Linked DNA regions of Macaca mulatta. The protein of the gene in region 2 purifies or fractionates together with the protein of the main gene of each other region. This does not show direct contact. Links are inferred from orthologs where the notes say so. Each region holds a gene or a part of one and is shown on either strand. Other genes may lie near its edges.

The links.
Region 1: the proteins of HDAC1 (region 2) and KDM5A purify together in Homo sapiens (co-immunoprecipitation; 4 studies listed by BioGRID and IntAct, counting the BioPlex papers as one, with this or other methods). This does not show direct contact. The link is inferred for Macaca mulatta from reciprocal best matches to the Homo sapiens genes HDAC1 and KDM5A.
Region 3: the proteins of HDAC1 (region 2) and EHMT2 purify together in Homo sapiens (co-immunoprecipitation; 7 studies listed by BioGRID and IntAct, counting the BioPlex papers as one, with this or other methods). This does not show direct contact. The link is inferred for Macaca mulatta from reciprocal best matches to the Homo sapiens genes HDAC1 and EHMT2.
Region 4: the proteins of HDAC1 (region 2) and TRPS1 purify together in Homo sapiens (co-immunoprecipitation; 3 studies listed by BioGRID and IntAct, with this or other methods). This does not show direct contact. The link is inferred for Macaca mulatta from reciprocal best matches to the Homo sapiens genes HDAC1 and TRPS1.
Region 5: the proteins of HDAC1 (region 2) and PWWP2A purify together in Homo sapiens (co-immunoprecipitation; 5 studies listed by BioGRID and IntAct, counting the BioPlex papers as one, with this or other methods). This does not show direct contact. The link is inferred for Macaca mulatta from reciprocal best matches to the Homo sapiens genes HDAC1 and PWWP2A.
Region 6: the proteins of HDAC1 (region 2) and ZMYM2 purify together in Homo sapiens (affinity purification with mass spectrometry; 7 studies listed by BioGRID and IntAct, counting the BioPlex papers as one, with this or other methods). This does not show direct contact. The link is inferred for Macaca mulatta from reciprocal best matches to the Homo sapiens genes HDAC1 and ZMYM2.
Region 7: the proteins of HDAC1 (region 2) and VBP1 purify together in Homo sapiens (affinity purification with mass spectrometry; 3 studies listed by BioGRID and IntAct, with this or other methods). This does not show direct contact. The link is inferred for Macaca mulatta from reciprocal best matches to the Homo sapiens genes HDAC1 and VBP1.

The regions. Positions count from the first base shown.
Region 1 is NC_133416.1:1,160,124-1,163,623, forward strand, and holds part of KDM5A (lysine-specific demethylase 5A), read right to left. Parts: intron 3,106-3,500; coding exon 3,028-3,105; intron 1,179-3,027; coding exon 1,056-1,178; intron 1-1,055. UniProt on the Homo sapiens protein: Histone demethylase that specifically demethylates 'Lys-4' of histone H3, thereby playing a central role in histone code. Does not demethylate histone H3 'Lys-9', H3 'Lys-27', H3 'Lys-36', H3 'Lys-79' or H4 'Lys-20'.
Region 2 is NC_133406.1:208,542,809-208,546,108, forward strand, and holds the end of HDAC1 (histone deacetylase 1), read right to left. Parts: coding exon 3,215-3,300; intron 2,648-3,214; coding exon 2,539-2,647; intron 2,446-2,538; coding exon 2,315-2,445; intron 2,036-2,314; coding exon 1,883-2,035; intron 1,425-1,882; coding exon 1,376-1,424; intron 1,107-1,375; coding exon 1,079-1,106; 3' UTR 501-1,078; downstream 1-500. UniProt on the Homo sapiens protein: Histone deacetylase that catalyzes the deacetylation of lysine residues on the N-terminal part of the core histones (H2A, H2B, H3 and H4).
Region 3 is NC_133409.1:150,415,598-150,419,603, reverse strand, and holds the start of EHMT2 (histone-lysine N-methyltransferase EHMT2), read right to left. Parts: upstream 2,801-4,006; 5' UTR 2,780-2,800; coding exon of another isoform or gene 2,738-2,779; 5' UTR 2,668-2,737; coding exon 2,025-2,667; intron 1,927-2,024; coding exon 1,708-1,926; intron 1,620-1,707; coding exon 1,366-1,619; intron 484-1,365; exon of another isoform or gene 405-483; intron 1-404. UniProt on the Homo sapiens protein: Histone methyltransferase that specifically mono- and dimethylates 'Lys-9' of histone H3 (H3K9me1 and H3K9me2, respectively) in euchromatin.
Region 4 is NC_133413.1:125,971,339-125,974,838, forward strand, and holds part of TRPS1 (zinc finger transcription factor Trps1), read right to left. Parts: intron 1,993-3,500; coding exon 863-1,992; intron 1-862. UniProt on the Homo sapiens protein: Transcriptional repressor. Binds specifically to GATA sequences and represses expression of GATA-regulated genes at selected sites and stages in vertebrate development. Regulates chondrocyte proliferation and differentiation.
Region 5 is NC_133411.1:168,981,767-168,985,937, forward strand, and holds the start of PWWP2A (PWWP domain-containing protein 2A), read right to left. Parts: upstream 2,801-4,171; 5' UTR 2,764-2,800; coding exon 2,180-2,763; intron 1,294-2,179; exon of another isoform or gene 57-1,293; intron 1-56. UniProt on the Homo sapiens protein: Chromatin-binding protein that acts as an adapter between distinct nucleosome components (H3K36me3 or H2A.Z) and chromatin-modifying complexes, contributing to the regulation of the levels of histone acetylation at actively transcribed genes.
Region 6 is NC_133422.1:1,840,430-1,844,363, forward strand, and holds the start of ZMYM2 (zinc finger MYM-type protein 2), read right to left. Parts: upstream 2,801-3,934; 5' UTR 2,708-2,800; intron 1,467-2,707; exon of another isoform or gene 1,067-1,466; intron 254-1,066; 5' UTR 185-253; intron 1-184. UniProt on the Homo sapiens protein: Involved in the negative regulation of transcription.
Region 7 is NC_133426.1:161,513,092-161,516,591, reverse strand, and holds part of VBP1 (prefoldin subunit 3), read right to left. Parts: intron 2,811-3,500; coding exon 2,686-2,810; intron 1-2,685. UniProt on the Homo sapiens protein: Binds specifically to cytosolic chaperonin (c-CPN) and transfers target proteins to it. Binds to nascent polypeptide chain and promotes folding in an environment in which there are many competing pathways for nonnative proteins.

The DNA.
Region 1 (3,500 bases), on a different chromosome or scaffold from region 2:
AAGTGCAGTGGTGCAACCACAGCTCACTGCAGCCCTGACTTTCCGGACTTGCGATCCTCCCACCTTAGCCTCCTGAGTGGCTGAGACTACAGGTGTGCACCCACGCCCAGTTAGCTTTTCTGTATTTTCAGTAGAGATAGGGTTTCAGCATGTTGTCCGGGCTAGTCTCTTAACTCCTAGGCTCAAGTGATCCTCCCTCCTAAAGTGCTGGGATTACAGGCATGAGCCACCGTGCCTGGGCCAAATTTTCAATTAAGTAACAAAAAAGGATGACAAGCTCAACACAGAACATTGTACACTCAACACAAGATAATATTAGCAGGCTAGAGTAATTTATTTTGCATATTGTATATCACAGAGCCTGATAAATTTTTTTTTTTTTTTGAGACGGAGTCTCGCGCTGTGTCACCCAGGCTGGAGTGCAGTGGCACGATCTCGGCTCACTGCAAGCTCCGCCTCCCAGGTTCACGCCATTCTCCTGCCTCAGCCTCCGAGTAGCTGGGACTACAGGCGCCCGCCACCACGCCCGGCTAGTTTTTTGTATTTTTAGTAGAGACGGGGTTTCACCATGTTAGCCAGGATGGTCTCGATCTCCTGACCTCGTGATCCACCCGCCTTGGCCTCCCAAAGTGCTGGGATTACAGGCTTGAGCCACCGCGCCCGGCCGAGCCTGATAAATATTAATATTTGGTAATTACATATTAATCTCAACAAATATAAAATAACTTTTAAAGATAACTTTGAGATCTCTCATTTCCATTTATTCAAATGTGCATTTCATTGTCCTTTTTGAGACAGAGTTTTGCTCTTGTTGCCCAGGCTGGAGTGCAATGGCGTGATCTTGGCTCACCACAACCTCCGCCTCCCGGGTTCAAGCAATTCTCCTGCCTCAGCCTCCCGAGTAGCCGGGATTACAGGCGCCGCCACCACACCCGGCTAGTGCATTTCACTGTCAAACAAATCCTCCACTGGAAGCAATGTTTACCACCAAACGTATTTGATATTCCTAAATTGACAAGCCTGTGCTCTAATTTCTAAACCAGTATAAGCCTCACCTTGCTCAAAGCATAGAGATCCAGGATTTTTCTCTCTACCACAGGGATCTTCAGAGTAGATCCTTGAAGCTCCCAAAATTTTGCTAGTTGATCCAAGAAATCCAGTCTCACTCTGGTCATTGCCTGAGATTAAAATACAGAAATAAAAACTAAGATTATTAAAATACAGAAATAAAAACTAAGATTATTAAAATACAGAAAAACTAAGATTATTAAAATACAGAAATAAAAACTAAGATTATTAAAATACAGAAATAAAAACTAAGATTATTAAAATACAGAAATAAAAATAAAGTTACGATTGAAATGAACGAGGACAACAGAGCAGGGGTCCCCACCCCCCGGGCCACGGACTGGTACCCGTCAGTGGCCTGTTAGGAACCCAGCCGCACAGCAGGAGTGAGCGGCGGCAGCAGGCAAGCATTACCACCCACTCTACTGTGAACTGCACATGAGGGATTAAGGTTGTGCGCGCCTTTTGAGAATCTAATGCTTGATGATCTGAGGGGGAACAGTTTCATCCCAAAACCATCCTCCATACCCCCCTCCATCCATGGATAAACTGTCTTCCATGAAACCAGTCCCTGGTGCCAAAAAGGTCTGGGACCACTGTAATAGAGGTATTCATTTCTCTAAAGAAATTCAAAGACTTTTCATTATTGCTTATTTCAACCCGGTAAAACTAGCCAATAGTAAAACTAGCCAAAAATAAAGAGGCAAAAGACTTCTAATAAACTGTATTTATTCAGGCAAAAAGGTCACTCTGATTTATGTAAAAAGTTGTCATATTAGCAACCAAAACAATTTTTGTAAGTTGGTTTAACTTTATGCTGATCAGAAAATTCAGTAAATCAGATCCTCCTCAGTCTCTAACATTCTGTCATTTCATCCATAGGTAACATGCACACTTTAGGTGCATCAACTCTATACCTCACTGATACTAATATTCTTTGTCAAGCATCTAATTACAAGACTAAAAAGAAAAAATATGTATTGCGGCCAGGCGCGGTGGCTCATGCCTGTAATCCCAGAACTTAGGGAGGCCAAGGCAGATGGATCACCTGAGGTCAGGAGTTCCAGACCAGCCTGGCCAACATTACAAAACTCCATCTCTACTAAAAATACAAAAATTGGCCAGGCATGGTCGTTGTAACCTCAGCTACTAGGGAGGCTGAGGCAGGAGAATTGCCTGAACCCAGGAGGTGGAGGTAGAAGTGAGCCAAGATCGTGCCACTGTACTCCAGCCTCGCTGACAGAGCGAGACTCTGTCTCAAAAAAAGAAAAAAAAAAGTATGTATTAAACTCTCAGAAATATTTTGGGGGGGGGGGAACACTTCAGAATGACATAATAAACCTTTGCTATCAATAATTTTCCTTCTGTACTCTAAAAGTTTTCATATCACAATGAAAAACCTTCTGAAAATCCGCAGACAGGAAAAACAGCAATACATAAATAGACTTCCATTTAGATAATTTAATATACATTAGTAATGCTTAAAGGCAGATCTTAATAAATCAGATTAGCACTCCTGGCAAAGTTCCATTAAAACCAAAACCAAAACAAAACAAAACTAACTTTGAAAACTAGGGTTTTAAAACATAATTTAAAAATCCATTTTCCAAGAATGAAGGGAGACAGAAATCTTCGGAGATTAACAAAACTTTTAGTAGAGTAAGAAACACTAGAGAAAGTAGAATTTAAGAATTCTAAGCATTGAAGCTAAACATTGAACATTTCCACTAGAACAACAGGGCTAGAGACAGTTTCTCATGATCTCAGTTAAACGGAGAAACCATAACTACTTTGCACAATTTTTTAAAAAATCACACTCTTCCTCCAAACATCAAGTAACTATTCAATACCAATTAACACAAACTCCAGGCTGTGGTCCATGAGCTTCTCAAAGTTCTCTACCTACAGCCCGAACACAAAGAATGAATCAGGAGGCAGAAACGGTGACAAAACACTTACCTCAAGTTCATTCAGGCGCTGGACTCTTGGAGTGAAACGAAAGCTTTTTACTTCACAGGCGAATGGAGGCTGCCAGTCCTAAATAGAAAGTTTTTTTAAAAAAAACACAGTGGTATTTAAGCAAGGAATGCGTTATTTATTCCCTTAAAGGGGGGTTTTGCCATAATCACGGTGCTAATAGACTAACTTATAAGACTTCTTTATTATAGAGACAGAATGAGCAATTCTTTTAGATAAAATAATTTTAATACAGGTTGAGTATCCCTCATCTGAAATGCTTGGGACCAGAAGTGTTTTGGATTTCAGATTTTTCCATATTTTGGAATATCTGCATATACATAAGGAGGTATCTTGGAGAGAGAAACCAAGTCTAAATACAAAATTATTTTGTCTCATATAGTTATACACATAGCCTAAAGGTAATTTTATGCAATATTTTTAATAATTTGGTGCATAACGCTTGTGTACACTGG
Region 2 (3,300 bases):
TGCCCCGTCTAGGTTTTTATAAATGTCTTACTCAAGTTCAAACCTCCAGCTTGTGAATCAACTGTGTCTCTTTTTTGACTTGGTAAGCAAGTATTAGGCTTTGGGGTGGGGGGAGGTCTGTAATGTGAAACAACTTCTTGTTGTCTTTTTTTCTCCCATTGTTGTAAATAACTTTTAATGGCCAAACCCCAGATTTGTACTTTTTTTTTTTTTCTAACTGCTAAAACCATTCTCTTCCACCTGGTTTTACTGTAACATTTGGAAAAGGAATAAATGTCGTCCCTTTAGTGGTGCTTTAATGAGTGGTCTTCTGGGGGTAGGGTGAGAAGATTGGTGGAAAGTAGTTCACCTCAAACCTCAAGGGAGGAGTTAAGGCAGGCAGGTAAGTTTATGGGGTTTTCTTGTTCAGGGGGTTGCCCCAATACTCATGGACACCAGAAGGGCAGGGAAGTAAGAGTTGAAACCAACCCAATGACACGTAGGAAACAAGCTCAGGAGGATATAGAAATGTACCATTTTATTACAAAGAGGCTCACAAAAATGAAAATAGTATCTCAAAAAGGAAACTAGACTAGCAACCTCCACCTGCAGAATTAGGAGAAGACGGGGCAGGCAGTGTTTCTTGGCTCACTTGAGGCCAGTGGGAAGGTATGAAAACAGAACCAATCTAAAAATGGCTGATGTTACCTTAGGAGCCTGAAAAGAACAGGAGATCCTTGAAGACCCAGCCACCCCTTCTAGAATATTCAATAAGGGCACCTTTCCAAAGCTACTAAGCAGGCACTTCGCATTTCAGGATTTTGTCTTACGGTTGCATAAAAGCATCCCTTTCACCCAGACCTGGCACCCTTTATGGTTCAAAGTTAAGAACTGGGGAAGAATGGGTGGCAATGTGGCCCCTGGAAGAGTTCACCCAGCACAGCTGCCCTGGGCTCAGGGCCTTGGTTTCTGTCCCTGGGGATATTTATATTTAATAAATTTTTATATAAATACACAGAGAAATAGAAAATATAAAATCTGAGGGGTTGGGGGAGAAAGGTGAGGGACTCAGCAGGGAGCCAGAGCTGGAGAGGTCTGTTCAGGCCAACTTGACCTCCTCCTTGACCCTGTGGAGAGAGCAGAGACTGGCATGAGATGACCCAGCCCAGAGCCTCGGGGCAAAAGTGCAGACACAGTGACTTCCACAGGATCCCAGGTGACTACTGGGGGCTGGGGCTCCTAGCTCTGCCTAGAACTGCAGAGCTGGACAGACTGGTCCCTGAAAGAGGCCTTTGTAAGCTGGACCAGCTGTCCCTGTGCCTTTCTTCAGAGTAGTGGGACAAAGGGGCTGGTGCTCCAATGCCAGGGAGATGGCTGCAGGCAGCTCGTTCCTCACCCTTTGGCTTCTGGCTTTTCCTCCTTGGTTTTCTCCTCTTCTGTGACTTCTAGAACACAAGAGTACAGGGATGGCTAAGGGCAGCACCTCTGGAAAGACCCGTGAGGTCTTCATTTACCCTGAGACCCCTTCCCCAACACTACGCTCACTGGACATAAAAGAGAGAAAAGCCCATCCCTGGTCTTCCCAGTGAGCCCTGTAGAGAACAGGTTGGACCGGTTTCCCAGCCTGCTACAGCCAGAATCTGGTGGGCGGAGGCAGCCCCCTGGGAAACTGGGGTGCAGTGCTGGGAAAAGGGCTTGGGTGGTATGTGAGAGCCGTGCTTGGCCAGTAGAGGTTCGTTGTTTTGTGGGCCCTGCCACTTCTGGGAGACACTGAAAGGCTCAAGGAACTGAGGAAGAGCCCCACAGGAGCTGGCAGGGCCTGAGTCACTCCCTCCTCCCACTGCCCTACATAGATTCATCCTCTCAGGCTCAAGACCCAAGTCCCGGCTGAACCCAAACCCACCTTTCTTCTCCTCTGGGTCTTTCTCTTTTTCATCCTCTGTTTTGACTCTCTTGGCTTTTTTGAAGTTGGAAGAGTTCTTGCGGCCCCCCTCTCCCTCCTCTTCAGAATCGGAGAACTCTTCCTCACAGGCAATTCGTTTGTCGGAGGAGCAGACTGGGAGGGAGTGGGAAGCATGGGTGAGAGCAGGCGGGTGCCGATCTAGCTCAGCATCTATGCCCAGTGCTTCCCTGCAGGCCCTCCAAGAGACACCAAGGGAAAGGGAACCAGAGAAGAGGGAGGAGCTCAGGCTCCCTAACCTGTTCCTACAGGCACTGGAACTGGAAACAGATTTCTCCAAGGTGGGGAGCTTGGAGAGTGTGCAGCCAGGAATGGTGGTGGAAGTGGGGGCTGCCTACTGAGTGGAAGGCATAGGGCTCTGCGTCTAGGTCTTACTCGAGATGCGCTTGTCAGGGTCTTCTTCGTCCTCATCGCCACTCTCCTCAGGGATGGCGTCCTCAGGAATCGCCTGCATTTGGACCCCAGGTGCATGCGGCAGCATTCTAAGGTTCTCAAACAGCCGCTGTCTGTGGCCAGTGGGAGAGAGTAGCAGGGCTCTGGTCAGGGACAAACCAAAGTCAGGAATGTTCAACCAAGGGGTGGCTGGAGGATATACTCACTTGATCTTCTCCAGGTACTCATTCGTGTTCTGGTTAGTCATATTGGAAGGACTGATGTGGAGCTTGAAATCCGGTCCAAAGTATTCAAAGTAGTCGTTGTATGGAAGCTCTGATTGGGGCAGGGAGAAGACCGTTAAGAGACCTGGCCACCGCACCTGAACCATTTGCACGTAAGCACCCTAAAGCATTTGTAGGTTTCTCTGGGCCCTTGATCCATCTGTCAAACAGAGGAGAATGCCTCCAAGACACGGTGAGACACGGGTACCTATGGGATTTCCATCTTGTTAACATCACTCTATGTCTATACCAGTGGTGTATATGTCGCTAGGAGAAGGTCCATGTTCCTGGTTTAGGACACTTGAGCCCATGCTCATTATGAACGCTCCCTTCACTCACTACTCCAGTTACTCTACAGAGCAGAAATTCCAAAGCTGTAAATTACCACTGAGAACTTTGTCCAGACCAAAAGCAGAAGGGAGAGGGGACAGAGCTAAAAAGGACTAGGGAAAAAGTGATGGTTATGGTCTGCTGATCACAAGAGGACATGCAGGGGACTCAGTGACTAGTATCAGAAGAACAGTGGTCATATGACCAACGGGGAAGGGGTTATAAACTTAAGGACAGATGAGCTCCAGCTCCCACCCAGCCCAGCCAAACCTGGCCCTGCAGCTATTACCATTAGGGATCTCCGTATCCAGGGCCACAGCTGTCTCGTATGTCCAGCACCGGGCAACATTACGAATGGTGTAACCACCACCTCCC
Region 3 (4,006 bases), on a different chromosome or scaffold from region 2:
CAAGTCACGCCCAGCCTATTGTTATAATCATGCTATTATGTTATTGTTGTTAATCTCTCACTGTACCTAATTTATAAATTCAATTTTTCTTTTCTTCCCTATTTTTTACAAAATGAACTGCAACTATAAAAATTAACGTTTATCATAGTGAGAAAGGAAAAGTAGCTCATAGCAATCTGTGCTATGCGAAGCAGGCAAAATTTATCAGGCTCAGAGAGAAGTGAGTATGGAACCTAATTAGGGCCCATGCCTGGAGGCAACTGCTTAAAGGCATTTTGTATCTGACTAGGGTGCTGCTTTACCCATTATCTTCATGTGCATAGTATCTGTGAGACAAAGAACAATGTATAGCAGATCAATAGCTTGTTATTCTAATGTAAACTTCTGGTAAACAATTTAGGAACTGCCTCTTCTTTTCCTTTATGTTTTATTTTTTCAATATTTTAAAAAATTTTTATCTTTTTTTTTTTTTTCTTTTTGTGGCTCCTTCCAGAGCAGGGCTAACTCCTAGGCAGTGTGCCCAGAGTCAGCCTGTTTTTTTTCAATATCTTCATGTCATCCAATCTTCTTTTCCTTTAAAAACCTACTTGTGGGCTGGTTGTGGTGGCTTGCACCTGTAATCCCAGCACTTTGCGAGGCCAAAGCAGGAAGACTGCGGAAGCCCAGCAGTTTGAGACCAGCCCAGGCAACATAGTGAAACTGTCTTCAAAACCAAAACACAACAAACAAACAAACAAACAAACAAACAACCCTATTTGTAACCGCTGCTAATCAGAGTGTATTTTCAGGGCAACTTGAATCTTTGCTCCTGAAGGCTGTCCTCAAAACCTGCCCAAATATATTCTACTTAATGTTAAGTTTGCCTCAGTTTTTTTCTTTAGGTCAACAATTGGTATGACCCAGTAACCCTAGAGCTTGGTCATAAAGCTTCTGGGCCTCTGGGGCCCTTGCCACTTCCCTCCTCTATTATTTCTGTGGCCCTCATCTCCTTTCCCACTGGGATTCCCATGAAAAACTTTACAAATAGAGCAGTGACAGTTGAGTTCCCCAAGGGCTTGCTTTGAGGTAGAAAGGAAGAGTGGTTTGAAATTCCCTTACCTTGTCATTATCATAAGAGTAATTAAGACATTAACTATATAATTGACTCTTTAACATCAAACTCTCACCACCCAAGAATGTAAACTGCAGAAAGAGAAGAACCTGTCTGTTGGTTCACAGATTAAGCACAGCCTAATATTTGATACACAGTAGCCCCTCGTTTAAACATGTGAATGAGTAAATGGAGTAGAAGCCTTACATGAAACTGTAAAAGAGCTCTCACCAAAGGTTTATGGTTGATTATCCTATCTCTCCCATCCCACTCACCTGTCCATTTCCTGGTTTGGACATGGTTTTGCGGGCTCGGTGGACCTTGGGCTGTCCCTCTGGGCTAGTGGTGGCTGGAGGGGGTTCAGGCCCTGCTGCTGCAGCTCCCTGGGCTCCCGGCATACTCAGCAGCCTCATAGCCAAACTCTGGACAGATGGAGGTGATTTTCCCGCCCCTGTCATTGACATCTTGGCCCGGCTAGGACACGAACCCCCCTTGCTGGGGGAAGAGGGGAATGACTTTGTGGCATGGCCTAAAAAACAGGCAAGTAGAAGGCAAGATAAGAAGGAAAGCAGAGTCAGAAACTTCCCACCCACCCCCCAGGCTACCCAGCCTCTCACCCAGCAGGATCCGGCCCCCATGGAGGTCCCCATCTCCCTCAAGATTCTCGGATTCATCCCCAATGAGTGGTGTAGCCCCTACAGGGGTGTCAGCCCCCTCATCGCCAACAGTGACAGTGACAGAGGCTGGAGATGAGGGGCCAGCAGGCTCCAGGGAGTCGGGGGTGGCCTTGGGCAGGGTCTCTTCACTACGAGGGGTGTCCCCCAAAGAGCCATGAACTGTAGAGGAAGAGAAAAAGTTCAGAGCTAAGGGCTCCGGAGATCCTGTGTCTAGGGAAGGTGACGGTCCAATTGGGGCCCGTTTTAGCTGCACTCACCTCTCTCGGTGGCTCCTCTGGTTTCCTTCTCCAGCAGCAGCGCCCCCATCTCAGCGGGGGCCTCCCCCTGGGAGGGGAGACAAGGGACAGGAGGGCTGGTCAGCCCAGTAGAGAGTTGGGGGGTCCAGGATGCCTGGGCCCTGGGAAGAGAGAGTAGGCTCCGGGGCCTACCTCTTCCTCTATGGGGCCCCCCTCTTCCGCGGCCTCGGCTGCCCGGAGGGGCCGCACGACCCCTCCCCCGGGCCCGCATCAACCCCCTCCCTCTCGGTAGACCCCGCATCTCTGGGGCCGAGAGAAGAGGAGGGGGAGGGGGCGGGGCCTCCGTGCCCCGGCCCCGCCCCCTCCTCCCGGCTGCACGCGCCGCTCCCCCTTTGTCCCCCAGGCCGCGGGGACCCCGGGCACCAACCCCTCCAGCACCCGCTGCCCCCCAGCCCGGTGGACGGCCCCTCGTGCCCCTCACGCGTGCTCCTGGGGCCCCGGCGCCCGCCGCCCACTCAGGGGCAGCCGGCGGCTGCACGCGCGCCTCCGTGCCCACTCCCCCCACCTCCCACCCCCTGGTCCCCTCATCCGCCCCCGGTGCTGGCCCCCCGGATTGCTGGAAGTCCCGCCCGGGCCCCCCGGCCCCGTTGCACCCCCGGAGCATTGCACGGGCGCGCGCTTCCCCCGGGCGCGCGCGCGGGCATGCACCCGCCTCTCCCCCTCCCCTTCCGCACCTCGGCGGCCGCCGCCGCTGCAGCTCCCGCCGCCGCCGCCATCGCCGCTTGCGCGGGGGGCCGAGCCGGCGCGCGGCCGCCCCGGGTCACGTGGGCGAGGGAGGGAGGGCGAGGAGGAGCCTTAAAGGAGCCGCTACACGCTTTCTGGCCATTTTCCCCTGACAGCGGCTTCGGAGATGGCTGTGACTGTCCTAAGCTGGGAGCTGCAAGGGAGAATTCCTGTCATTCCTGGCCTCAGCTCTGCAGGGACCGAGGGCGAGGCACGCCTGGGCCTAGGTGTGGCGTCTCTGTCCCCATCTGGTTTTAGGTAACAAGCGGAGCTTCTGAACCTCCCGGCTCTCGGCAGCGGCTGTATTTCCTCTGGCCTGCTTGGGCTTTTCCCGCCTCTGGTTGCTTTTCTGCCTTTCTAGTTTTTGGGTTACCAGATAGAAGGCTCGGCCTCAGTTTTGGCCTCGCCTTTCTAACGAGCAAGAAGAGGGCGATAGGGACGCGGAGGACACCTTTGTTCTTGGCTGCTTCTAGCATATTGCTTCATGTCCCCTGGAGCAGCGTGCCCTTTTGAAAACCTGTGGCAAAATGTCTCTTCTGTTTATATCAGGCGTGTTACACCTCCACACGCATTAGGGATCCAGGTAAGCCCAGCGGCCCGAACGTCATTACTGACTGGTGACACTGCAGTAAGTAAACCTTTTTTGCCGAACACTTCATAAGCACAGTCAGGTACTCCGTGGGTCATAGCCCAGCGGACACTTTAAGTATAAATGATGTACACCAAGATAGACAACCTCGATAGCTGTATTTAGGGTACCATCCTTTTAGGTATTACGTTTTGGTCGAGTTAGAAAATATCTGTATGATTTCACACGCAGTATTTGACACAGGCAGGTGGGGCACCTGAGGCCAATTCAAGGCCTTCTGGGAACTGTAGTTCTCTTTGGTTAACTATTCCAGAGCTTTCTGGGAATTGTAGTTTTTCCCTGCACCTTAATCCAAACTTAGCTTTTTTTTTTTTTTTTTTTTTTTTTTTTTAGCTTTCCTGAAGACATGAACCATTTACCCCAGACAAAATATGACCAACACAGATTCCTGCTTACAATTTCCGTGGGCAGGTTGGCCACCTGTAGCTCATCCCTAGCACTGATCTAAGTCCCTCAAATAGAGTTCATGTGCATCCCCACGACTGCCATCACTTGTACCGTGAAGTACCTGGCTAAGTGTTGAGATAGCAGAACTGATGGAAGGCTGGGGGCGGGGACTTGGGGGAGTCCC
Region 4 (3,500 bases), on a different chromosome or scaffold from region 2:
TTCCTACTAAACTATAAGTTCCATGAGGGCACTGACTATGTCTTCTCTTCTATATTCATTCAATGCCTGGTACAATAGGAGTTTTGACATTAATTAAGTAAAGAATGAATGCATCAATGAAATAAAGATACATATCCTATACTTATCTCTAGATATTATAAAAGATTAACTGGGAAAGTTAATGTTTATAAAGAGAATAGAGTGAAAGCAGAAGGAAAACACAAACATCCCACATCCATTTAAGAATCTGGAATAACTCAAGCAGTTTTACCTACTTGGAGGAGCAAGTCTACATCCAAAATCACACATATTACAAAAATTCTCACCTTTAGATTACTGTTTATATGCCAAACAAGGATGCTGCAGAATTGTTCAAAGCTAGAAGAATATATAATCTCATTTTAAAATAAAAATGAGCAACAGGTTCTCAAAATTTTTTCTCAGAATAGAGAATAGGATATATTTACAATAGTAACTTTCATTTGGGAGTTGCCCTGTCAAAGAAATATAGGATGTGGAGTCATATTTAGTAAGGACAAATAAATGGACTATGATAAATTAGTAAACTCATCAGCATTATTAGAATCACTGTGAATTTAAAAAGACAATCAGTAAATGGTATAAAACAAGTATCAAACATGAGCATACAGTCCAAAAGAAGGAACCAAATTAAAGTCTACAGTGATCACAGCTATAACTATACCACCTGCAAATCTGTGATGATCTTTTATGTGGTCTTCTCCTATAACTTCCCCAAGTCATCGGAATCACTCCCAACAATTCCTGGTTCAGCCCTCTTTCTGTGGATTTTTTCTATTATTTTATTTGTATATTCCTCCTGACCTACCCCCCTTTGACTCACCTGTAGTGTCGGGAAATCTCTTCTTCCACCTGGGTAATAAAATCACATTTGGTACATGAGTGTTCTTTGCTTTCCTTGACAGCCTGCTGCCCATCCGATCCTTGCAGGTGATTCGCTTCTTGTTTGACATCTGATGCTTGGGACTCATGCACACCCTCATAGTGAAAGAGGAGTACATCTACGTCAGGGGTGGTGAATGAACACTGATGGCACTGATGCTTGACTCGTGAGCTTCCGGCTGCCCCAGGAGACAAGTGCAGAAGCAAGAGTGCACAGTGGGAACAATTACTTTTTCTACAAGCAAACGGATAAGTAATTTCTCCAAGGTGCTTTTCTGGGCTGCAAAGTCCTCTGGGACAGAATGGACAGTGTTTAATGGTACACTTGTGAATGTTATGGAGCTGTTGATAATGACGGAGAAGAGGCCCCACTACAATTACATCAGGGCCATGGCTTTTGGAATATCGGAAGTCACAGAACTGACAATTATAGCTCGTTACCATATTATCCTCGGCTCCCTTGCTGGAGAAGTCCTTCTTTTTAGCCCCACTCGAGCTCTTGTCTGTCTTGCTCATTGTCTCTCCTTCTGAACTTTTGGCTAGATCATTCTGATTAATGACAGAGCCCCTGGAAAGCTTATCATTCAACTCTGGATTAAGGCCGCCTGACTGCACTGCTCCGTGCTGCTTGCCATAATGTTCTAGCAGTTTAAGTGAGCTAGATGACTCACAGCTGAAACTACAAAATTTACACCAGTAGTAACTGGTGGCCTCTGTACCATTTTGTCTCGAGGAATCGAGGGGCTTGATGGGCACTGAGTACCCAACAGGAGTGTCATCTCCTGCTTTGACTGTTATCTTGTCCTGCCATTTTCCCAAGTCTCCAGAATCACTGGATCGAAGTGCCGGGATGGACTTGTTAGAGTTTTTCTCTGAAGGTTTTGCAACCTCAGAGGAGGGGAGAGAAGCTTTTATTTTGTTTGGGTGAGTCTGAAGAAAATGTTGTTCTAATTCGGTGGACGAGTTGCCCATATAAGTGAAATTGCAGAATTTACAGCGGAAATACTTGGTGTTTCCTTGGCAATCTGGTGTTTTCCGTCCAATGCCAATGAATGTTCCACCTGAAGTCACCTGGAGAAAAGAAGAAATGGACTTTACTTCTGAGGTGTCATTAATTCAATGGGTCCTCTGCAGGGGAGGGGGAGGGTACTGCCAAGTATTCCACATCAAAAAATACAATAGTACTCCTGCTTATTATGAAATCACTTGAATAATCACAGAGCCAAATAAATTCACTCTTCATTTCTCAACAGTTACTCTTTGAGAGGCTCATTATGTTATACACTGTAGGCCAAAGTAACAGGTGAGGGTAAGTAATAAATGTACCATAATTTGAAAGACTGAATAATACATTTTTTAAACTAAGAAAACAATTTTCAACACAGTACGTTTTACTATTGCCTCCTTCAAATCACACCCCTACAGAAGCATCCTAATCACATGGGATTTCTTTTCAAAAGGTGAGGCGTTACTGTCAAAACTAGAGGCACTTGCTCAAAAAGTACTCAAGGCAGATGTTCTCCAATGAAATATTCTGTTCAGTTCCTACAGCAATGAGGCTGCAGGCAAAGATGAGGTCTCTGTTTTAGGTAAAATACAGGTGCTCAAATGACCACCCAAAATGGCTTATAATTAAAGCTCAGTGAAACAAACAAACAAAAAGATGAATTGAGTATGCAGGAAATACTAGTGAAGAAGAACCATGTAAATAAAGAATTTTGAATGTTTCCCAATCTAGAACAAACAAACAAAAAAGAAAAATCTTCCAGGGCCTTATTTGATTACGGTTCTGTTTCATTGCAAAGGGCTCCCAACTTCTCACATGAGTAGGTCATGGAGATGTTTGAATGGCAAAATAAAATAATTCCATCATAAAAATAACTACAGCTCTGCTTTCTTTCCCAAATTATGAAATTACATGGAATCAGGACTATGAAAGCCTTCAAAGGGCACTTTACGTAAAATCCTTCCTCCATTCTCAGTGTGTATCTCAACAGGAGTACAATTAAGCCACCACTGAGCAGCCAAAATTCAGAGTTTAAAATAGAGTTTTTGAATGAAATACTCCAAAAAGGGGGGAAAAAATTCTCTTCCAACCACCAAGGAATTTTTAAATTTTCCCAGCAACCAGATGTAATATATTAAGCAAGTGGCATAATCATGTTCTGCCTTCTTCAACAGCTGTTCAAAAATGACACGTGTGATTGCTGTTCATATCCAAATCACTCCATGAGAAAAGTCTCAGGCATCTCAAAATCATGTAAAGGCTCTATGTGAAATGCAAATAATATTGCTGTAGTACACTGAGAGATATGTTTGTACCTCTATTGTACAGGACTAAGATTGAAGTATTCTTTTTGCTATTAAAAAGAGATGTGACCTTGATCAAGTTACTTAACCTCTCTGGCCAATAGCTTCTTCAACTGGGGCAACCTCTAAATTCATATCCAGTATTATAGTTCTAAGAAATGTGCATTAATACATAAACAACTCAACATTTACTGTACATTAAGATAGGAACTTACAAAAGTTTCCCACAGCCTTTAATCAAAGGATGTAATGTTTCGCATTAGGCAATG
Region 5 (4,171 bases), on a different chromosome or scaffold from region 2:
AAATAAAGCACTAACACAATGAGCACTTATCCATTCCATTTCCAAAATCAACTTACCTTCTGCACCTTCCTTTTGCAGATTTGAAATCCAGATTCTCACACAATCACTGGCCATCTCTTCTGTTTCATTCAACAGCATACACACCACTGAGTGTCTCTCACTATTAAATACATTAACAGAGTCCGGGCGAGGTGGTTCATGCCTGTAATCCCAGCACTTTGGGAGGCCAAGGTGGGTGGATCACCTGAGGTCAGGAGTTTGAGACCAGCCTGACCAACATGGTTAACCCCATCTGTACTAAAAATACAAAATTAGCCCCCAGTTACTTGGGAGGCTGAGGCAGGAGAATCGCTTGAATCAAGGAGGTGGAGGTTACAGTGAGCTGAGCTGAGATCACACCACTGCACTCCAGCCTGGGCAACAACAGCAAAACTCCGTCTCAAAAAAAAAATAAGTAAATAAATAAAATACATCAATAGAAAGTACACTCACCTTATTCTGCTTTCTAATTATGAAAACAGAAGTGCAGGCCGGGCGCAGTGGCTCATGCCTGTAATTTCAGCACTTTGGAAGGTCGAGGCAGGAGGATCGCTTGAGCCCAGGAGTCTGAGACCAGCCTGGGCAGCACAGCAAGACCCCGTCTCTATTAAATAAGTAAACAAACAAACATAAACAGAAGTGCAAATGCCCTAATCCAAAATTATTTTTAAAAAAGATACTTGAGGCCTGGCATGATGGCACATGCCTGTAATCCCAGCCCTTTGGGAGGCTGAGACGGGTGGATAACCTGAGGTCAGGATTTCAAGACCAGTCTGGCCAACATGGTGAAAACCTGTCTCTCCTTAAAAAGTACAAAAATTAAACCAGCATGGTGGCGCGCACCTGGAGTCCCAGCTACTTGGGAGGCTGAGGCTGGAGTCTCAGCTACTTGGGAGGCTGAGGCTGGAGAATCGCTTGAACCCAGGAGGCAGAGGTTGCAGTGCGACGATATGGCACCACTGCACTCCAGCCTGGGGGACAGAGTAAGACTCCGTCTCAAAAAAAAAAAAAAAGATATTTGAGATTAAATAATACAGAGTAACTGCTCTCATCTTCCCGCCGCAAACACCATACTTTAATATGAAATTTTAAATGGCTTTTTTCCCCAAATGGGAAAGAAGGATTCCTGTGTCTTGATGGGAAAGCAAGCAGTTTAAGAGTAAAACATACTAATAAGCCATGGCAAACAGGTGAGATACCATCAGAGTGTGCGCTATTGTAGGAAACAGAATGGAAAGGCGTGAATGGGAGTCTCTGCACTTCATATCTGCAAAAGAAGAGAATAAAAAGGTTAACTCCAGATTTAGAACAGGTTTATTCCCCTGTTTAAAGCAGAGCCCAAAAACATTTTAAATCAAAAAATGAAAATGTGCTGGTTAAGCCAAATTTGTAGATGAACTCAACCTTCTTGTCCTTAGTATATAAACGGTATCCCAGGTGTTAGAAGTTATTTGAACATTTTTATGCTACACCACCTTGACATTAAAGGATTTTTTGAAATCTCCAATCTCTTCTTTAAACTTTTCTTAAAACTATCATTAAAATTAGTAAAATATGCTTCTCTATTGAATGGTTAACCTAACGGGAATGACTTCTAACCGTAAGAATCACAGTTAAAAGGTTCATTTTAACAAATGCTCTTCCCCCTGTAAGGAGTGACAGGTAACCTTTTGGGATCCCCAATGTACACACCCCTTTCTCCAGCCCTGCTAAAGTTAAACGTTGATTTGAGGACAGACAAGTGCCTCCTCGCAAGGATTGCCTCCCTCCCCCTGTCCAACACGCCGTTCTCTGCAATAATCCATCTGCATCTTGCATTAACCCACCCGCCCAGTGCCGGTGAGTCCAGGCCAAGTCGCAGAAGGCCAGGAGTGAGGGGTGAGACCTGTGAGCCCATCTGCACCCGCGCCCTCCCACCTGGTGGCACACCTGCCCCGCAGGCGCCCACCTGGAGCCGGGACCGCCCTCTCCCGGTCTCGCGCGCCTGCCCCACTCGGAGCGCGCGCCACGCGCCGCGCAGGACCAGAGGGCGGGGCCCCGGGCAGCAGGGAAGCGAGGGCTCGGGGAGAGGGGGCCCCCCGGGCTCACTCCCTCCCTGGGGACCCAGCGGACCGGAGCGTGCTGGGGGCGGGAGCGGTACCTTTTGGACAGATCCATGAGGACCCCGGAGAAGAGCTTCTCCCCGAGGCGGAACGACACGACGAGCGCGTCCTCAATGATGTGGTCCAGCGTGACCCGCACCTCCGAGCCCGGGATCAGTTGCGACACCGTGGAAACCCCGCCCGCCGGCGGCACGAGCGCCAGGGCTACGGGCTGAGGCAGCGGCGGCTCCTCGCGCTCCTCGGGTGCCGGGGGCTGCTCCGGTGGCGATGCTGGAGAAGGTGGAAGTTCGGGCCCTCCCTGAGGCGCGGCTGCAGCCGACTCCGCCACCCGAACGGACAGTTTCTCCTCAGCCTCCAGCTCCGGCCCCGCCGCCTCTGGGCTGCGGGCGAGCTCCCCCGGCGGCGGCGGTGGCGGCGGGAGCGGCGGTTCGTCGGCCTGAGGAGCGGACTGCTGCCCGTCGGTCTCGCCATCCGGCACAGACGCTTCAGTGGCCGTGACCGGGAGGGGGTCAGTGCCGGCCTCACTGCCGGGGATGGGCTCCATCTCCGGCTCGGCCTCGCCGGCGCCCCCCTCCCCGGGGGACGCTGCAGTCGCTGCCGCCTCTGCAGCCACGGCCGCCATTTTCTTCCTGGCTTCTCCCTCCTCCAACTCCGGCTGCAGCGGCGGCGGCGGCGGCAGCGCTGCTTGGTTCCCTGGGCCTTCCCCTCCCTCCCGCGAACACTTTCGTCCCGCCCTTTCCCTGATGCTCGTTTTTGGCACCTCGCCATTGGTTCCATTCTACACCCCTCCCGCACTTGTGATATTCCATTGGCCAGGGGTGGACGTCTATCATCTAGTCAGTCCATCCTTCCCACGCAGAGTAGGAACTTCTCATTGGCCAGATGTGTTGTCAAGTGTGGAATCTGAGTGGAGGAATAGGGGGCGTAATCCAAGGGGGCGGGGGAAGTCACAAAAGAGGAGCCATATACTCATCCCCTCTTGCTATTGGCTGGAAGAGGAAATAAAGTTTTATGGTTGGCTTACGCTCCTGCCCATTATCAGTCAGGTCTTCGGAGGTGGGAGAAAGGAGGGAATCATGTGGCGTGCTATTTCTTTCAAAGGCGCCGAGGGGAGGAGTAACTAGGGAATGTGGGAGGGGAACCGCTTCCCAAGAATCTCTGCGCAGAGATCCTTAGAATAAATGTTATTTCTAGGCGCGGACTTCTTGCGACCGCGTGTGGGCACGACAGGCTTCTCTGGGAAAGACAACTAAAGTTTGAAATATAATCCTACCGACACTTTTTGAGTGCCTACTATGCTAGTCACTGCACTAGGTGCTGGGGAATAGAATATTCAAGACGTTCTCCATAACCTCATGGCAGCTGGCTCACGGCAGCCACTCCAGCTGCCATAAGGAGTACGAGGAGTGTTTTCATTGACTTCTAGGAGTACGATGAGTATTTTCCTTGACTTCTCTCCACTTCCTAGGAACAAAGCACCTACTTACTAACATTTCAAAAATAGGAAAATGCTCATGAAAGAGGAGAGACACCATCCTCACTGGATTAAACTGATGACTGTTCCAGAAAAGAGTCTTGAGACATTGCTGGACTGATATGTGAACACTGCTTGTTCTCTCCAAATACACTGCAAAGTGGACGCACCTGATCCCTGCAAAAGCCTTTATGTTTCCTGGCTTCTCCAATGCCAAGAGAAGAAGCTCTCTCACTTCAGTGTCCTAACGCCCCTACTTCTCTTACTCTCACGTCAAGTCTCTTCGTTTGTTATCTCTGGAAGAATCTACTGAACCTATTTCTCTCAAATGGCACCTCAGAGTCAGCCTTTTTTCTGGGAGAATGCCTACAGGAGAGAGGGAAGAAAAGCTGCTAGCATTGAGAGTAAAAAAAATAAAGTCCTGAAGAATAATTACAGCTAGTGTCTTTTAAGTACCATGTACCAGGCACTAATACAAACACTATAGCATATCATCTCAATCCTTAAAATTTCGAGGCACAAAGAGGGTGCCCAAGGTTACTCGGCTGGTAAAATG
Region 6 (3,934 bases), on a different chromosome or scaffold from region 2:
GAAACAGCAGCGCCCACTCCCAGCTGCCTCACCAGCCATTACCCAGGCTTCGCCCTGGGGGCAGCTGCCACCCAAGGGAAAGCTCCTCCCCCTCAAAACAACTGGGAGGGCCAGGTCCCGTAGCTGAACCCCTACAACCTGACAATGTCCTCTATTAGCAACAAATTAGGGGCAAGGGACTCACAATGGGGGTGTTTTCCTCCTCACTTTCTGCCAAGGATGCACCGGACAGGGCTGAAGGCGATTCTTGGTCCTGGGACAGGAGGAAAAAAGAAAAATGTATCAAGAACACACAACCTGGTGGGAGAAACCAACCCTTTCTGCCAGAAGGAGGCAGAGAAGGGAATAAGAGGTCAAGGAGGTTCGGTTCTTCTATTATTACCCCACCACGCGCACAATAGCCCCCTCCTGCGTAAGTGGGGCAAAACAGCGCAAAATGTATATCTGGGGCCAAAACCCATGTGAAAGGCAAAATCTGGAAAGGAGGGGGCCTGAGGACACCGAGCCTGCTCCCGGGAAGGGAGGGGGGAAGGGAAAACGTTGCCTCGACGCCAGCAAGGGATTTGTATTCCCTCCTAAATTCGCCCACCCAGCGTCATCCCCGTCACTCCAAGTACCAATTCAGAGGTAAGGGGCGGCTCGCGTCACCGCTGGGCCGATATCGCCCACATTTGCCCCAAGCAGTTGCCCTGGGCCCGAGGTTTGCCCCCCCCTGCAGTCGGCGACCGGCAGCGCTGCCTCCCCGTCCGCCATTAGAGACCCAGCCAAACAATACGTGCGGAGCAAGAGCCGCGCAGCGCAGCGCCGAGGAAGAGAAGAGCGAAGGAGGGGACCCGGCGGGGCAGAGGCGGCAGCCCTCACCCCGAAAAACTTGGGGACCTCGGCTCCGGCGGACAGGGTGGGAGCGCGGCCCCGAGCGCGGAGACCCGGCCGGGGCGCCCCTCCCCCGCCCCCCGCAGGAGAGAAAGGAAAATGCCCCGCGACCTCCCCGGGCGGCCGGCACCCCCGCCCCGCCGTCCCGCCGCCCCGCCGGCCCCGCGACCCCCGCCGCTGGCGGCCGCCTCACCCAGCCCTCCCGGCCTCGCCCGCACTCTCCCAGCCCCTCGGGCCGCACGCGAAGGCGCCTGTGACATGAGCGCAGCCCCGAGCTGCCCCCGAGGCCCCGACGCGGCAGCGGCGACGGCGGCCGCGCCGCGGGGTATTAATCCCGGGTCGGTGGGAGGCTCCGGAGGCTGCCCTCACCCATCTCCGCCTCCCTAGTCGCCTCCGCCTCCGCCTCCTCCTCCGGAGGCTGCGCTGCTCCCAGCCACCCCCACTCTCGGCGGCCCCGGACTGGAAAGACAGCGGGGATAAGCCTCACCCGGTTCTGGCTGCGGCTCCGCGGAGCGAACCTCCCCTCCCCCGGCCCACCCCCCTTCGGCGACACGCACAACTCCGCTCGGTCCAGTCCCGGCTTTAGCGCTGGTGAGGAGGAGGAGGCGGAGGAGGCGGCGGCGCGGCCGAGCCCGGGGAGGCCCCGCCCTCCGCGCGCTCATTGGCTGACGGGGGAGGCGGGCCGGAGCGCCTCGGGCTTGCCCATTGGCTCCAACGGCAGTCCTTCAGGGCCCCCCCTCGGTGGGGTGGTCCGAAGGGCTGTCCGTCAGGTGCGGGCCACTCCCCCGGCCCTGCCGTTCCACTCCCGCCTCCGCCGGCCCTCGACTCCCGGCCGGGTCCCCTCCCCGCCGGTCCCCCGCCCCCACCCACCGGGTCTGCCAGGGTCAGGAGCCCGAGATTCGCTGCCCGCCGCACCGACCCCGCTTCGGCTCCTCAGGGCCCGGGGCTCTCCGGGACCTAGACAGCCCGGGAGACTCCGGCGGGGCCGCCTGCCCTCGCCCGAGCCTGGGCGCCCAGGCCGCGGCAGCGGCTCCCAACGCCCCTGCCCGAGGAGAGCCGCGGCCTCGATGCCCCATCGCCCTCCCTGTCCAGTTCCTTGAAGGCCCCTGCGAGGGGCGAGGCCGGGGAGGCGCTGGAGCGGGGCCGAGTGGGCTTTCGGGGCCGCGGGCGAACTGGAGCCCTGACTGCGCTGGGGGCAGTGGAGGCCCTTCCACCCTCGCCGCGCCCCGTGGGGAATAGTCCCCCACCTCCCGCCATGGCTGCAGCAGGAGGAGACGACGTCCTCCATTTTGTCGGCACGACTGTGGGAACTTGGGACCCCCTAAAAACCAAACCCCGTGGGGCCGGGAAACTTGTCCCCGGGAAGCCCCGACTGGGCTCTGCCATTCGGCCAAGGGAACAGCCCCGGCTGCTGGCGTCTGCGTCCGCGGGGCCGTAGGGGACGGGCACGACGGTGGAGAGACCCAGACGCCGCTCCCCGCCTCCATCAACCAAGATGGAGGGAGCTACGGGCTCCCCTGGAGCTGGGCTCCCGCCGGCTGGAGGGGCCGAGGCCCGCCCTGGGGCGTCCCTGGGCGCCGCCGTCCTGTGCTCCGCAGCCCGGGGCGCTGGCCCTGCCCAGGCCGCTCTACCGCCTGCCACCGTCTCCTGGTCCTCAACTGTTGATGGAGACTCCATGGAGGCTCCCTCCACAGCCCGCTCCATCGCGGGGCGCACTCGCTGCGGCCCCCGGGGGAGCGGAGTCAGGGACAGACGGCGACGGCGCCCGGGGAGGGCGGGCCCCACAGGCCACCTCCACGAGGGGTCTTCTCTTTTGTTCCTCGTCTACACCTACGTCTTCGGCGGACGTCATGGTGCTGAACCATTTCCAAGACTCACGTAAAGATGGAAGCGGTGCCGCTTGCTTCTCGCCCTGGCGGTTCTTAGTGGGATTACAACTGAGGGTGTTGGTTATTTTCCCACCCAAATGGATGGGCGACTTCTCCATTTCACCATTATCTGACACCATTGCCTATTAATAAACAGATGTATGGTAATACAGTTTCAAGTTCAACACGATATTGATGAACATGAAGTTTTCAGTGAAGTTAATCACCCATGAAAGACTGATGTTTAATAGACGCAACTTCACAGAGGAAATCTAGTAGAAGTTGAATTCAGTCACTCATTGAAAAATAAAGTAGGCTTTCCACCTTGTACTAAATACCTTGAATACACTGTTCTTTTCTATTGAAAAAAATTAATAAAATGTACTTGAACCAGCTTTTCAAAAAGTATCACTAATTTTTAGGAAACTTTTGTAACTAAAATTTTTTAGTTTTAAATACACTAAAATAGCCTCTTAAGATTTTATATTACACAGTGCTGTTTTAGACTGAAAAACTATCATCACAACAGAAACATCACAACAAAAACAGCCACTATCATCAAAACAGACACATCCTCTACTACCAAATTGTAATAATTTGGTGAAAACTTGCACCATCCCTTTTCTGCTGCCAGCTCGTATTGCAGTAGCTTCAGCTCATTGAGTTTATATTTAGAAGAGTAAAGTAGACATACTTCCAAATAAGCTCTGTGATAAACTTAAATGATAGATTAGGTTGCCATGTACTGTTCAGTTGGAGCTCTATACTGCTACTAATTCCCTAGTGTTATTGCTGTTTTATATAACTAATGAGCACCTGTGCTAATTATGGTATTTATATGCACTTTTTTAGTTCATTCAGGTACATTTGTCCATGAAACTCTTCATTGGTTTGCTAGTCTGATACCAGGGAGAATTTTCGTTGAGAATTTAGAACTGGGAAAAAAGTATTTGTCATAATGTTAAAAGCAGACTTAATTTTACATAAAAGTAATTTTAAAAATAAATGTTTGAATGTTCATAACAGCATTCATAATTTCCAACATCCCTAAAATGTCCATCAACTGATGAATGGATAAACAAAATGTGGTACATCCATACAATGGAACATTATTCAGACATAAAGAGGAGTGAAGTTCTGATATACGCTACAACATGGACAAACCTTAAAGACATTATGCTAAGTGAATAAAC
Region 7 (3,500 bases), on a different chromosome or scaffold from region 2:
ACTACTTGGGAGGCTGAGGTGGAAGAACTGCTTGAACTCAGGAGGTCAAGGCTACAGTGAGCTGTGATCATACCACTGCACTCTGGCCTGGGCAACAGAGAGAAAGCCTGTCTCAAAAAAATAACCAACCCACTATTAAAATAGGTAAAACTCAAGAAAGTTTTCCTAACTCACTATCTCCAACTCTACCATTCTCTTTTAAAACACTAGACAAACACTGTTCTCATCCAGAACACCAATGTTCACTGATGCTTCCTCAGTGCTTCGAATTTTTACCCCTTCTCCCCACATTTAGGCCTAGACCATATGTTAAGCTAGAGTGAGTATCCTGCTATATACCACAGTTGTAGAGTTAGCAATATAACTTTTTTCTTTTTTTTTTTTTTCGTCTATCATTAATTTACTAGTTAGAAGAGCAATGTAACTTTGATACACAAATTTCCCTCTCTCCCAGGACTCGGTACCAAGGCTCATTTTCTTTTCCTTTTTTTTTTTTTTTTTATCTTGAGACAGGGTATCACTCTGTTGCCCAGGCTGGAGTGCAGTGGCACACTCACAGCTGACTGCAGCCTCAACCTCCCTGGCTTAAGCAATACTCTCACCTCAGCTTCCCTAGTAGCTGGAACTATAGGCATGCACCACCACACCTAGCTAATTTTTGTAGATATAGGGTTTTGCCACGTTGTCCACACTGGTCTTGAACTCCTGGGCTCAAGTGATCTGCCCACCTCAGCCTCCCAAAGTGCTGGGATTACAGGCATGAACCACTGCACCCCACCCCAAGGCACATTTTCTTCTCTATCTGTAACCTCCCTGTAGATGATCTCAAATCCAATGGCTTTTTCTTTTTCAAATAAACTTTTACTATCACAAAAGCAGTACATGTACATTGTAAAAAATTAAGAATACAGATAAGCAAAAACAAGAAAAATGCCATATTCTAACTACCCAGAGATTACCACTGTTAATATGCCTTTAGTGTGGACTTCTCTAGATACTCCTGTGCATATATACATTTTTTTCCAAAATAAGAGTATACTGTTCTTAATGATTTCTATCTTGCTTCTGTCCATTTACACCCTCCATCTTTCCATGTCAATGACTTTTCATCTCATCTAATACAAAGTACATATTCAAATTTCTACAACTGTCACCAAAATCAAATGAGAAAATACATCTACAAACTTCTGTACCTTTGCATAAATGGTGCCTTATGCCCAGACCACCCTTCCTCACTTTAGTCTGCCTCCAAACTCATAACTAATCTTTGAAATTCTACACAGGTATCTGTTCCTCTTAGAAGCTTCCTCTGAACCTCCTTGGCCCCTCCAGATTAATGAGGTGTTTTGGTACAAAGTAATGAGTTACCATCCCCTGTAACTCATTACTTTGTACCGAAGTACCTCCACTGCTCTACTTTGTGTGCTAATTTTATTTATATACCTATAATTTCCCCCCAACCTGTGTCCCTGGTTTTTTGTGTGGTTTGTTTGCTTTTTAGACTGGATCTCGCACTGTTGCCCAGGCTGGAGTGCAGGGGCATGATCACATCTCACTGCAGCCTCAACGTCCTGGGTTCAGGTGATCCTCCCACCTTAGCCTCCAGAGTAGCTGTGACCACAGGTGCATGCCACCATACCCAGCTAATTATTATTATTATTATTTTTTTTGAGACAGTGTCTCACTCTGTTGCCCAAGATGGAGTGCAGTGGCGCAATCTCGGCTCACTGCAACCTCCACCTCCCGGGCTCAAGGGATTCTCCCAACTCAGCCTCCCGAGTAGCTGGGATTACAAGCCCGTGCCACCATGCCCGGCTAATTTTTTTGTATTTTAGTAGAGACGGGGGTTTCACCATGTTGCCCAGGGTGGTTTCAAACTCCTGAGCTCAGGCAATCCGCCCACTTCAGCCTCCCAAAGTGCTGGGATTACAGGCACAAGCCACCGCGCCCAGCCTAATTATTTTTTAATTATTTGTAGAGACAGGGTCTCCCTAAGTTGCCCAGGCTAGTCTTGAACTCCTGGACTCAAGAGATCCTCCCACCTCAGCCTCCCAAAGTGCTGGAATTACAGGTTTGAGCCACCATGCCCAGTCCTGTGTCCTTGTTGAAAGCAGATACTGGATGTTATTTCACCCAAAACAGTATGTGGCATCTAGCTGGCATTCCATAAATATTTATCTCACAGAAGAATGCTGGCACATGTACAAAACAGAGATCTACAAATATTTATTACAGTGAATTGACTTTATAAGCTATATAAAATTATGTAGGGAAATAAAGAGTTGAGAGTAAGGATACCTTTTTTCCTATGCCTATTAGTTATGAAATCTTGGGATTTCATAACTAATTAAGTCTTGTGCCCCAGACCCTGTGGGTCTCTAATCTTGTTGGCAAAATTAGAAGGATAAACTAGACATATAAGATGTTATGATTTTGAAAGCTTTGGAATACAGTCTTTAATAACCATTCTATTATGTTTTCAAAACCACATTTAGACTGGCAATACCAAGTGTTGGCAAGGATATGGAACTGGAACTCTTGTACATTGCTGGTGGGAATTTCATATGGTACAGCCACCTTGGAGGACTTGATATCTGAATATTTTATCATATGTAAATTATATCTCAATTTTTTTAAAGTTCAAGCCATATACGATTTTCAAAACTTAGAAAGTTTTACACTTACCTTCTTTTCTTTTGAGCAAGGTTGAGTTCCATAAACTTATACTTCTGGTACTGTTCATCCAACTTCTTTAATACTGTATCTGCAGTCTCATTCCCAGGCTGTTTCATGAAGGAATCTACATCTTCCTTTAATATCAGAAATAATACTTTACAAATTTTAGAATTCATGCCACTCATCAGATTTTTTGACTGCTTTGTTTTTAAAACATAAAAGAAAAACAGCTTTTCCTCCAAAGGTTTGTTTTTAACTAAAAGTACAGGTTAAGCATCCTTATCTAAAATGCCTGGGACCAGAATTGTTTTGGATTTTAGATTTTTTTTTTTGATTTTGGAATATTTACATTATACCAGTTGAGCATCCCCAAGCCAAACATCCAAAGTCAAACATGCTCCAATGAGCATTTCCTTTGAGCATTATATTGGTGTTCAAAAAGTTTTGGATTTTAGAGCATTCTGGATTTCAGATTTTCAGATTTAGGATGCTCAACTTGTAGTTATAAAAAGTTAGAGACAATTTCAGACCGTATATATATATTATATAGCTAACTTATTCTTTCACTTTCCTCTTCATTTTTTATTTATAAATAGGAAAAGAAGAATGACTTTGCCCACCATTTATGCATTTCCCATGCATCCCTAGTAGTAAATATGAAAATACTAACAATCAAATACATTGCCTATTCATGCATCCTATTCACAAAATGATTTTACAGGTTGTATGTCAAGATTATCAATTTTATTACTTATTTTTAATTCAACAAGTTTTGCCATAGAAATCATACTAAATATGGTTACTGGGTTCCCAAGGCAATCCAC